Linked DNA regions of Drosophila melanogaster. The protein of the gene in region 3 interacts with the protein of the main gene of each other region in a pairwise test. Each region holds a gene or a part of one and is shown on either strand. Other genes may lie near its edges.

The links.
Region 1: the proteins of STUB1 (region 3) and Rbp9 interact in a two-hybrid assay, tested with the Drosophila melanogaster proteins (one large-scale study listed by BioGRID).
Region 2: the proteins of STUB1 (region 3) and CG6425 interact in a two-hybrid assay, tested with the Drosophila melanogaster proteins (one large-scale study listed by BioGRID).

The regions. Positions count from the first base shown.
Region 1 is NT_033779.5:2,953,115-2,956,871, reverse strand, and holds the start of Rbp9 (RNA-binding protein 9), read right to left. Parts: upstream 2,111-3,757; 5' UTR 1,559-2,110; intron 1,493-1,558; 5' UTR 1,365-1,492; intron 1-1,364.
Region 2 is NT_033777.3:26,715,633-26,719,389, forward strand, and holds the start of CG6425 (uncharacterized protein), read right to left. Parts: upstream 1,758-3,757; 5' UTR 1,633-1,757; coding exon 1,566-1,632; intron 1,507-1,565; coding exon 484-1,506; intron 419-483; coding exon 387-418; 3' UTR 1-386. Other genes in the region: Yif1 (Yip1-interacting factor 1), read left to right, coding at 2,346-2,394, 2,696-3,234, 3,290-3,676, 3,735-3,757.
Region 3 is NT_033779.5:10,435,453-10,439,209, forward strand, and holds the start of STUB1 (STIP1 homology and U-box containing protein 1), read left to right. Parts: upstream 1-2,095; 5' UTR 2,096-2,386; coding exon 2,387-2,509; intron 2,510-2,588; coding exon 2,589-2,787; intron 2,788-2,848; coding exon 2,849-2,990; intron 2,991-3,138; coding exon 3,139-3,244; intron 3,245-3,303; coding exon 3,304-3,360; intron 3,361-3,429; coding exon 3,430-3,672; 3' UTR 3,673-3,757. Other genes in the region: holn1 (hole-in-one), read left to right, coding at 634-737, 797-989, 1,055-1,717.

The DNA.
Region 1 (3,757 bases), 7.5 Mb from region 3:
AGGACCCGTGACAGCGCTGCCGCGCCGCAGTCCGCGGCCCCAGCGGCAGAGCTCCTCCTCTCCTCCAATTGGCGTACAGTTGAGCACGGCCCTGCAGAGGGCGGGAGGGGGGCGGTGGCGAATGCACAGCATAACTGCGTAGTTTTGCTCTCGCATGCACAGTGGGACAAATTCAAACATTGAGCGCGAACTTTAACCCTTCTACTTTCTTGTGTTGCAAATATAGATAATAATATTAGACTGACCTGACATATGCTAAATATGTATTGTTATATCCAAAATGTTGTTCTATTTTATTTGAAATAATGGATTTCGGTCCCAACTAAACTCAAAAGACAACCTATGCAACAATTTGTAAATGTATAGAAATAAGTAAATGCACCTGACACGTTTCAGGATAAGCTTAAATGCCATTGCACATCAGTGAGATGCAGAAGTGCTGTTTTATTTTCAATATACAGCTTGGGCACAGTTGCACCATTGTACCATGCGAGAAGTAACGGTCGCGAAGAAGAAGGCAAATAATAAAAAGCTGCAGCCGCAAGTTGCGCAGCCTGCAACAGCTCCGGCAACATAACGGTACTCGTTCGCTCGCTCTCTCTTTCTCCTGGCTCGGCACTTAACCGATGTACCCTACATTTGGCTTCGCAAAACATAAACAAGGAAATGCAGCCGTGAACACGAAACGAATTGCGGTAGGTTCTCCGTTCGGCAAAGAGCGAGCTCCAAAAGAGGCGAAGAGAGCCGGGGCTCGTAAGCCGGCCGCATTGCTGTTGTTGGAGCTGAGAGAGCCAGCACGGCACCCAAACAAACACTTAAGCAACAACAACAACGGCTGCTGACTGAAGGGAAGGTGCCAGAGGGGCTTTAAACCCAAGAGCGCAAGCTAGAAAGAGCATCAGAGAGAGAGAGAGCAAGGCAGGAGCGTAGGACGAGCTCAACTTGACATCATCATCATTTGTGTCAAAAGACCATTGAACTTTGCGAGCGGATGGAACAGAACAGCTCCACCCCCATCCCGCTGCCTACAAGTATGCAACAATACCTCGCTCTCCTTATTTATATGCGGTTTGTTTTGTTGCTGCTTGCACACCATCACAATAACAGCAACCCACATGCATGCACTCACTTTGCATAGGTGTTGGGGCCCAATGCATCTCAAAATGTTGCGCTTTTAACCCTTACCTAACTGATCAGACATGTAAGGCCCTTTCATGAAAATGTCCTGTGTTTGGGAAATCGGGAAAATCCCCACGATGTAGTTATAAATGACATACTATAGATTTGTGTACAATAAGTGGCTGTGTTAAATCTTCTTTAGCGAATAGGTTTTTATGTAATTCATTCTTGTTGCCTTACCTTACTTGTGATGGATAATGGTCGTGTTCCATTGATGTTCAATAATATAACGCCCATTGCAGGATTCCTGAATAGGGTTCAGATATGGGTTCCTGGCACTACGGCCTTGAGCTGAAGATGAATGTTCTTGCCTCTGCGGATGTGCATATAAAATTCGGTTAATTTAATTATTTAAATGAATAATTGATTTTCAGCTTACTGGTGCTTCCCACTGCGACTGATTCTGACGTGAGCCGCCAGAGTTCCAGCTTTGGTTGTCATAAAAGCCCCTAGATTGGTTGGGATAAAGCCAAGATAGCGGTGGTTGTGGTAGATCCCCTTTATTGGGCTTCCTGTTGTTGTTCCACGCTAAGGAAGGCTGCTTGATCTTGTTGCCGTGCTTCTCCTCGATGTTCGGGGACACATTCTCGCATTTAACTTGAACCTTGTACCACGAGGCGTCTGTATGCTTACGTTTGATGGTCATATCCTCCTCGCTGGTGGAGTCATACACGTGGCCCTTGATGGGTCTCTTTCTCTGACAATTGTTGACTTTCTCTGGCTCTGGTCCTCCTGTTAATACCCCTGGAATTTGCGGATGTGCCTTACGTCGTTGGCGCTGATATTGCCTTCTCTTGTTGCGAGTGTACCTGGGGATCTCACCCACAAAATCGCTTTGATTTTGCATTCCTTATGATGAAGTTGTAAACGATGAATTCGAAGAATCGACACCACGCTGTCGAAAGCACAGCAAGTAACACGTTGAGTTGCTAACACTGACAGACTACTTTGGCGACTTACCAGCACTGATCGATTAATCATGCAAAAAGTTTTTCTCGTATTGATCGAAACTTCCTTTCGTCATGAGCATTATCAAGATAAGAAATCGTTTTAATTGCATTCGGCTTCAAGTGTTCCCCTAAGGAACAGGAGTTAAGAATTTCCAGCTTTTGTTTGAAACAGATGGACATGAATTTATAACCTTGCCTGGTCACACTGAATTTTTAAAGCATCTCCTTCCGTTATTACAACCATCCATAGTGTTAAAAAAAAGCAAGACACAAAAGGCAGTTATGTAAATGTTACAATTTTTGATGTTTTATTCGTTCGATTTATCAACTACTGTTACGGTAATTGCATATTAAATTGGTTGTTGTTCTGTTGTTGCTTAAACTTTAATAAGTGTACTTGGTTTTAGCTGCGGCTGAATTTAATTATATTTGTACAAAATATATATTTACTTTTAGCTTTGTCAATGAACAACATGTTTTGCATTCATTTTGGTTTTCTACTCGCTTTCCACGTTCCAAAGTCCAGCTTAAAACTTAATTCTGTTGGTTTTGCTGTTCGATCTGTCGGTTCGGTTTTGTTTTTGTTTTTGTTTGGTTTTCTTTTGTTTCGTTTCACTACAATAACGCTTAACAAAATAGAATTATTAACTATTACTAGGCGCGTTTCGTTTGTTTTTGTTGTTGTTGTGGTTGTTGTTGTTGTTCTTGTCGGTTGCTTATTGCTGCACGTTAATCTTGTCACTTCGAAAAAATTTAACTATGATTTCTACGTTGTTTAGTTTAATTCATCGTGTATATATATAAAAATATATATATATTATATATCTTTATATATACCAATATATAGTTATTTATAGTTAGGCATGTAATTATGCTTACTTTAATTATATGCATGTTTGTGTCCGTGTCTTCCCGCCTACGTAATTGTATTATTTACATCGTTTTAATAATTAACAATACATATGTATGCATGTGTACCAATTTATAATAATTACACTTATGTAGTTGCACTGCACAATAAAGTTGCGCAAATTCTCCATCGGCATTCGGCACTCGTCATTTTAGTGATAACTTAAAATTTGTCTACAATTTAAATGTTTGTTTTCGGTTTCATTTGTCGAATGCGAGCGAATGCCTTGTTTCCCCAGAACCATTACTAATATTAATTTAATATTCTTTCTTACTTTGTTTTGCTTTCCGTTTTGTTTTTCGTTACATTTTTGCTTTGATTTTCGTAGTTTCGATTTCGTACATGCCAAAATAAAAGTCAACAAGAAAATGCTGGCTGCTCAACTCGGTCAATATATGAATGTATTCCAGAATCCTACCATCCTACCATCGTACCATCCTATCCCAATCCCCACTCATTTTCAAATTCTGCTGATTGAAGTTGGCTTAAAGTAGTTTACAGCGCTCACTTTTTGGCATTTAAAAATATATTTCTTGTATACTGGCGGCTATATGTACAGCTTATATAACTATTTCGAGGGCAAGTCTATTTCGATTGATTTTTAACTCGTTTAAGTCTACTAATGCACTATTAGTTGTTGCGTCTGTGTGAGAGTTTTGAGGCACCCATTATGAATTTATGAATTATGTTGGGAATAGACTGTGGATGAGGTGGTTTT
Region 2 (3,757 bases), on a different chromosome or scaffold from region 3:
TGTCGGCGACCAGTCGTATCCACCTGTCCGTCTGCGTCCTGCCACCTGTACTGGTGGTACTGGTGGGCGGCGCGTTCGCGGCCCGATAATGCCGAACATATGGCGAGTCGCATGCGCCGAACGAACGCACAGGCCTTCGATGCGAATATTAAGGGTCCTGCTTTAAATTACAATTAATTTTTAATTAGGCTTAAATTAACATTTTCAAAGACGCTTTGGAGCTGCATTAATCAATTAGCGTACTCGTATACAGAATGCTCAGGCAAGGGGGCACGCAAGTCAAGCGAAACAAAACGAAATATCTTAAACTCTAACTTTGCTCATCACAATTGGTACTCGCTGAAGGGAAGCTGATTGTATTCAGGGGCTGGTTACCTAATCGGGTTTCATTTCCGGCTGCCAAAGAGTTTGCCGCGCGCTGCAGGGAACGAAATGATGAGTTTGCTTTGGTCTAGAAATGTTTGACTTCACTCTGGCACTTACCATGCGATGTGGCTGGGGACAGAGCGTGCGAACTGGCGTGCCGTTTGATGCGCGGAGTATCCCTTAGCTCTGAACCAGATGCGGAGGAGGCACTTGTGCAGGCATTTGAATTGGCCGTCACATTGGTCAGGGTGGACACTCCGCTGCACGAATCCCCTGTGGTTGGCATTGATTTGTAGCGCTGCAGCGAGGTGCGCGGCTTCTTCGGCATTGTGGCCTGCTGCACTGCCTCTTCTAGGGCGTTTAGCCAGTCCTCGCCCTCGCTTTCGTCTTCCAGAAATTTCATGTAGAAGGAGGGTCGCTTTGCCGTGTGGTGCCTAGTGGGTGTGGTGCTTGTGCTTGATTTGGGAGGTTCATGGTGTTCTATTTTCGACTCCAGTTGCTGGGAGGCCTCAAGCAGGAAGAGATCCGTCTCCGAGTCGTTGAGGAAGTCTGCCATTGGATCGGAGGCAGCTACAGGGGAAAGCACTGGCTCTGGCGTAGCCTTCGTGCAGGTTAATCTTGTGCGGGGAGCAACAGGTGACGGAGCTTTAGGAGTTTTTAGTGGCATTACTGGTTCGGACACAGCTATTTGCTCCAACTGGCTATTGAGCCTAGCACAGCGCTCCTTAAGAAGAACATTAGCCCGCATCTGCTGTGCCCGCCACTGCTCATTGTCCAGTTGGCTGCGTCTATCCTCGACGCCCTTAAAGGCTATCTGCCGGCGTCGTTCGCGCTGGCTCAAACTGCCTATTTCCGCGGAGTCGAAGCCACTGTCCGTGGTGGCATTGCTGCTTCGGTTCCAGCGCCAGCCCACCTCCGGACTTTCGGTGGCCAGTGTCTGGGAGAAGAGGCAGCTGGGCGAAAGGCTGATGTCCAAACGGGGCGAGAAGTCCACACTGTCGTCCAAGCTGGGCTTGTGTTTGTGTGGTGGAGTGCTCTCCAGGTCGGACGTGATTCCCACTACTGCTGAGGAGTTGGGCGAGCCGGGAGTGTCCACGGATACACTTACATTGTGCCCTGTGCGTACGCTCTGTGGTGAAGCTATTAACAAAGGATTGTTTTATGGATATTCCTGATTTTTCGAGCTTGGAAATCCTTACCACTGTGGCGCTTATGCAGCAGACGCGTGCTGAGCGTTAAAGATCGCCGTTTAAGTGCGTTCTCCATAACTTTGACTTAACAATAAAGTGAACTGCAGTCAATTATTTAACTAATCAAATTTGTTTTGTTTTGCGCTGCGGAATGCGCTAAAAATTAAAGTAAGCCGACAGTGTTGCCAGATGGCACTGTCAAAACTCACATGGTCACTCTGCTATTCAACTCGTTTTGTTTATAGCCCTTTTCCACTTAAACGCATAGTTTAATAAAAAAATCCACTCTCCAAAATCTATGAAAATATTTTATCTTTAAAATACAATCAATTTAAATTTTCATCTACATATGTTCTTTTATATAATGGCTGACTTGATGATATTTCTGTTACCACCAATGCAAGAAATCAGTTATTTGAGTACTGAGACATCCATTGGCACATAAATCCATATATCGCAATAAGATGAACAATAGGAAATTGTCTTAAAGAAAGTTTAGTGTATAAATAAAATAGTGTATAAATTTACATATAAGTAAACTTACGGAGTAAACGTTATAAAAATAGAGAAATGTACAAATATACAAAATATAATACAAAAAAAAAAAAAAACAAAGATATCTATAATTTTTTTTTGTAACTTTTAGTATTTTATCTATCGGAGTGCAAACATTCTGGTAGGCGGTCATGCTTTGGTATTTGGCAACACTAAACTCCGGTCACACAACAAAATGCTTATGGTGATGTGTTAAAAAGCGAAATTTTGAATACAATTTACTGATCCAGAAAGATGAACTACAATCCAAATCCGGGTATGCGGAACCGTAAGTGGGAGAACTGTAAGGATCAGGCTACGCAAGCAAGTATACCTGAAGGATGTCCGGTGCAGCCACTCCGGAATTTCCCCACCCGCCGCTGACCGGAATCGGAATCCGGAGTGCTGTCACTGTTTACGTTACACGTTACCCCGTTTTGTGCGCCGCTCCTGGCTTCCACTGCATCCTGCTCCCCAGTTTCTATGCCTGCTGTGCGTTTCCGTTCCGTGATGCGTGTGTAGCTTGAGTGCCTGTGTTCCCCGCTTCCCAGTTGTATCGTTTAGATCCTCCGGCACTAACTAATGGTTGCTCTGTCCCAAAATAGCCTCAGCTGCCGGTCGCCCAAGGCCGCCGAAGCGTGTGAGTGATGTTAACGCCATGGGACCCTCGGCTCCGATGATGGGCGGTGGCGCCACCTTCATGGCCCCGCCCACCGGCCCCGGAATACTAGATCCCAATATGTACGGAGCACCTGCTCCGGCCCCGGTCAACAGCTATGGCTTCGACCCCAATCTCGGCCAGCCCTCGCAGCACATTCAGCAGCCACCACAACAGCAGCCCGGATACGGATATGGAGCACCACCTCCCCAACAGGCGGCTGGGCCACCCACCTACGGAATAGGAGCACCTCAGCCTGTAGCTCCACCCACTGGACAGTACCCACAGTTCGCCATGTTCCAGCAGCCCATCGTGCAAGACATGGCTATGCAGTACGGTCAGAAACTAGCGGATCAGGGCAAGCAGATCATGGAGAATCAGTTCGAGAAGTGGGTGCCCGTAGCCAAGCTCAAGTACTACTTCGCAGTGGACAACGCCTACGTGGGCAGGAAGTTGCGCCTTCTGTTTTTCCCCTATATGCATAAGGTGAGAGTGGTGAAGCACAAACGGAGAAACCATATAAATTACATACTCCTTTCAGGATTGGTCCCTGCGCTACGACCAAGAGCACCCAGTGCAACCACGATATGATGTTAATGCGCCAGATCTCTATCTGCCCACCATGGGCTACATCACATACGTGATCGTAGCGGGTTTGCTTCTGGGCATGCAGAAGCGATTTTCGCCGGAGCAGCTCGGCATTCAGGCCTCCAGCGCCATGGCATATAGCATTTTCGAATTGGTCATTTACTCCCTAGCCCTGTACGTAATGAATGTGAAGACGAGCCTGAAAACGCTTGATCTGCTGGCATTCACTGGTTATAAGTACGTTAATATAGTTGTCTGCCTGATGGTTAGCACGCTGTTCTTTAAGTCTGGATATTATATAGCACTGGCGTATACCAGTTTCTCCTTCGGTTTCTTCATGGTGAGTTTGCGCTTGCTCTACACTTGTGGAGCAATCAGTAATCTTACCTTCATTGTAGCTCCGCACGTTGCGGACGAAACT
Region 3 (3,757 bases):
GTTAGCTTCTGGTTTGGCGGATTTTTGTTTGATTATGGCGGTCGCTGGTTACCATAATTTTAGGAATTGGTTGGCTAAACCTTTGATTCGACAATTAATTGTAACACAGCGGATTGGTGAAAAAAAAAACTATTAACTTTTGATTCTAGGGACCTCTCACAAGCAGGATGACATTGGAGGAAAAGAATTTACGCGAAAACTCAGCGCAGGCGCAGTTAACAGTCGATGGTTTTAAGACTGGTTTCGATATTTAATACTTTAAAAATGTTGAGGATTTATTAATTCAAACTGCAATGAAAAGGTATATTTTTAATAACAATGATAATATATTAAATGCGAGTAGGTGTATATTAATATCTTCTTATTCAGCTTGCAAATCAATCAAATCTAAGTCTATTTCTATAAGCTTTCTTCACATAATCATACTATATATCAAATGGAATACAAAACATATTATATATACATTAATTAAATATAATTTAAATAAATTTTAGAAACTACAGGAACATTGGTATTGGAACAGCATATGTTCCAGCTATCGATATCAGACTTACCTTCACTAACGTAAATAGAATCAATAGTCGCTTAAAAATATTGACATTGCATTTAGTTTTGTCTTGAGTTCTTGATAAAATGGCGAGCAAAAGAAAGCACCAAGCATCCCAGAAAGTGAAAGAGGAATCCTTCAAGAAACACACGCTTGACTCCGATGAAGAGGATTCTGACGACTACGAAAGGTAATGCTTAAAATGTGCAAACAATTGATTGTTTTGATTTCGGCACTTTTTGTTTGCAGGGAATACCTCAATGATAGCGACATTGAGGGCGGCGAGGAGGGCGTGGCAAAAGTGGAAGACGATGTGAAGGTAACACCCTTCAATATGAAGGAAGAACTGGAGGAGGGACACTTCGACAAAGATGGTCACTACCATTGGAACAAGGAGACGGAAGCAAAGGACAATTGGTTGGACAACATAGACTGGGTTAAAGTAAGGATTCCATCACTGCTGCCTGTACACAATCATTTAATTTAAAAGCAATATTTGCCTAACAGATTGGCACACAGAAGAACGCCTTCGACCCGGCAAAAGATGAAGAAAACTCTTCCGATGAGGAGAAGAACGAACCCGTGGGCAAGGCCTTTAACTTGTCCATGAACCTCATGAAAATGGTCGAGTTTATGAAACCGGGAGAGACTGTCAAGATGACCCTGCAGCGTCTGGGTAAGCAGCGCCCCGTCCTAACAACCCTTCAGAGGATTAAGCAGAAAAAGGCCGGCATCGTTGACCCAAAGACACAGGAAATCTCTCAGCTCACCGAGCTGGCCAACGAGATTCTCTCGAAGACGGGCAATATGGATATATATCAGGATACGTACGAAAGCATCAAGGCCAAGATCGCCGATTTGCCAGGAACGAGCAAACCTAAAGTAGCCGATGATATTGATATGTATGCAGATGATTTCGAAACGAAAGAATTGGAGCGCTCTAAGACATCGTCGAGTGATAGCTCCAAACCAACGACGACTACCTCAGAGGTGACCTGGGAGTTTAAATGGTCGCAGGATGAGACTGATATCCAGGGACCCTTTTCCACGGAGAAAATGTTGAAATGGTCCCAGGAGAACTACTTTAAAAACGGAGTCTATGTGCGAAAGTGCGGCGAAAACACAAATTTCTATACAAGCAACCGCATAGATTTCGATTTGTACTTGTAGGCCTTAGTTAACAAATGTTAAATTCTTTGGGTTTTAACATGTTTTCTGCAAATACTTTGTTCTATAATTGTATACTGTATACTTTACAAGAGGTTTCAATTAGTTTGCACTTGGTTTGGACTTAAAATAAAATTCATATTCATATTGATTCTGTCGGCTCTTAAATTTGGTCAGATATACCAAATTATGTATCCGAGTTACTTGCGCTAGTGACGAATAGCGAAAGATTCTTCTATTAGACCCACTAGTTCAGTAAGAGATATCTGATAGTCGAGAAACTCGAAAATGGCACTGTTGTTTTTGAAATGTGCAAACGATAGTGTGGCAAAAGTATCGTTTGGGCGGTGATAGTGCAATCGATGAATGTGCAGCTTTAATTTAAGCTTGTGAGTCTTGGCAACTCTAGAAACACATCGATTAACGTAGCTGAAAATTGTTTTATGTTTAATTAAATACAGGCGAATAGCTCAAGATCTTTTTGGTGTTATGAGCGTTCAAAAGTCACTACCGTTTCCCACTTAATACTTTGTTAACTGTTAAGTTCGTGCAGCAGTTCCCCAATTCTTGCAGAGGAAACAAATTTACGAGTGCTTCGGTGTTGTTGGACACACACTCACTTTTCATCGGTGGAAAATCAAATTTGGGACCAGGCGCAGAAGATTCGTCAGGATGACGACCAAGCACATCTATTCCACGACCAATTTATCAGATCTGCAATTAAAGGAGCAGGGAAACTGCTTGTTTGCAGCCCGAAAATATGACGACGCAATAAATTGCTACTCAAAGGCCATCGTAGGTGTCTCACATATTTTTGTTATTGTGATGTGTATTTTGTTGTTTACATGTGCACTATGCTCCATATAATATGTAGATAAAGAACCCCACAAACGCCACATACTTCACAAACCGAGCCCTCTGCAACCTGAAACTGAAGAGATGGGAACTGTGCTGCCAGGATAGTCGGCGCGCCCTCGACATCGATGGGAATCTGTTGAAGGGTCACTTCTTCCTGGGCCAAGGACTCATGGAAATCGACAACTTTGACGAGGCTATAAAGCACCTTCAACGGGGTTAGATAATACCTGACCTTTGATGTTCTCTACACTAACTAACCATATATGAAACTTATAGCATACGATCTGTCCAAGGAGCAGAAGCAAAACTTTGGGGATGATATTACACTACAGTTGCGACTAGCTCGCAAAAAGCGCTGGAATGTTATGGAGGAGAAGCGAATACAGCAGGAAATCGAGCTGCAAAGCTATTTAAATGGGTAAGATGTTATTCGAATTCTCTAGATGCCTTTTGCAAACTAAATTTAGTCACCGCACGACGATATCGAGGCAATTGTTGTCCTCATGTGATAGAATATATATTAAAAAAAGCGAAATTTGTGCAAAACCTAAATATTTATGTTTCAGTCTAATAAAAGGGGACATGGAAAGCCGTTTGGCCAATTTAAAGCTGAATGGAAATGTACACGATGAGCAGCTGAAAGACAAGCAACAGGAAATTGAGCAAGAATGCGTAAGTTGGACTTTAACCAGAATATTTAGCGGAGTTGACAATCTAATTTTACTTTTTAGGATGACCATATTAAGGAACTTAACAATATATTTTCTAAGGTTGACGAACGTCGAAAGGTAAGAAACTAAAGGAAAAATAACCAATATTAAAAATATTGTTCTAATATTGTTATTTACATATTACAGAAACGTGAAGTTCCCGATTTTCTATGTGGCAAAATAAGTTTTGAAATATTAACAGACCCTGTGATAACTCCATCTGGAATTACGTATGAACGAAAAGATATAGAAGAACACTTGCAGCGGGTTGGACATTTCGATCCTGTGACACGCGTTAAGCTCACTCAGGATCAACTAATACCAAATTTTTCAATGAAGGAAGTGGTTGACTCTTTTATTGCCGAGAATGAATGGTCTTTAGATTATTAAGTTACTTATTAGTTGGCATTGTCATTGTAATTGATTAGATGTTAGAACCCAGTTCCCATTGTCTAAAAACCAGATAAGTGATAAT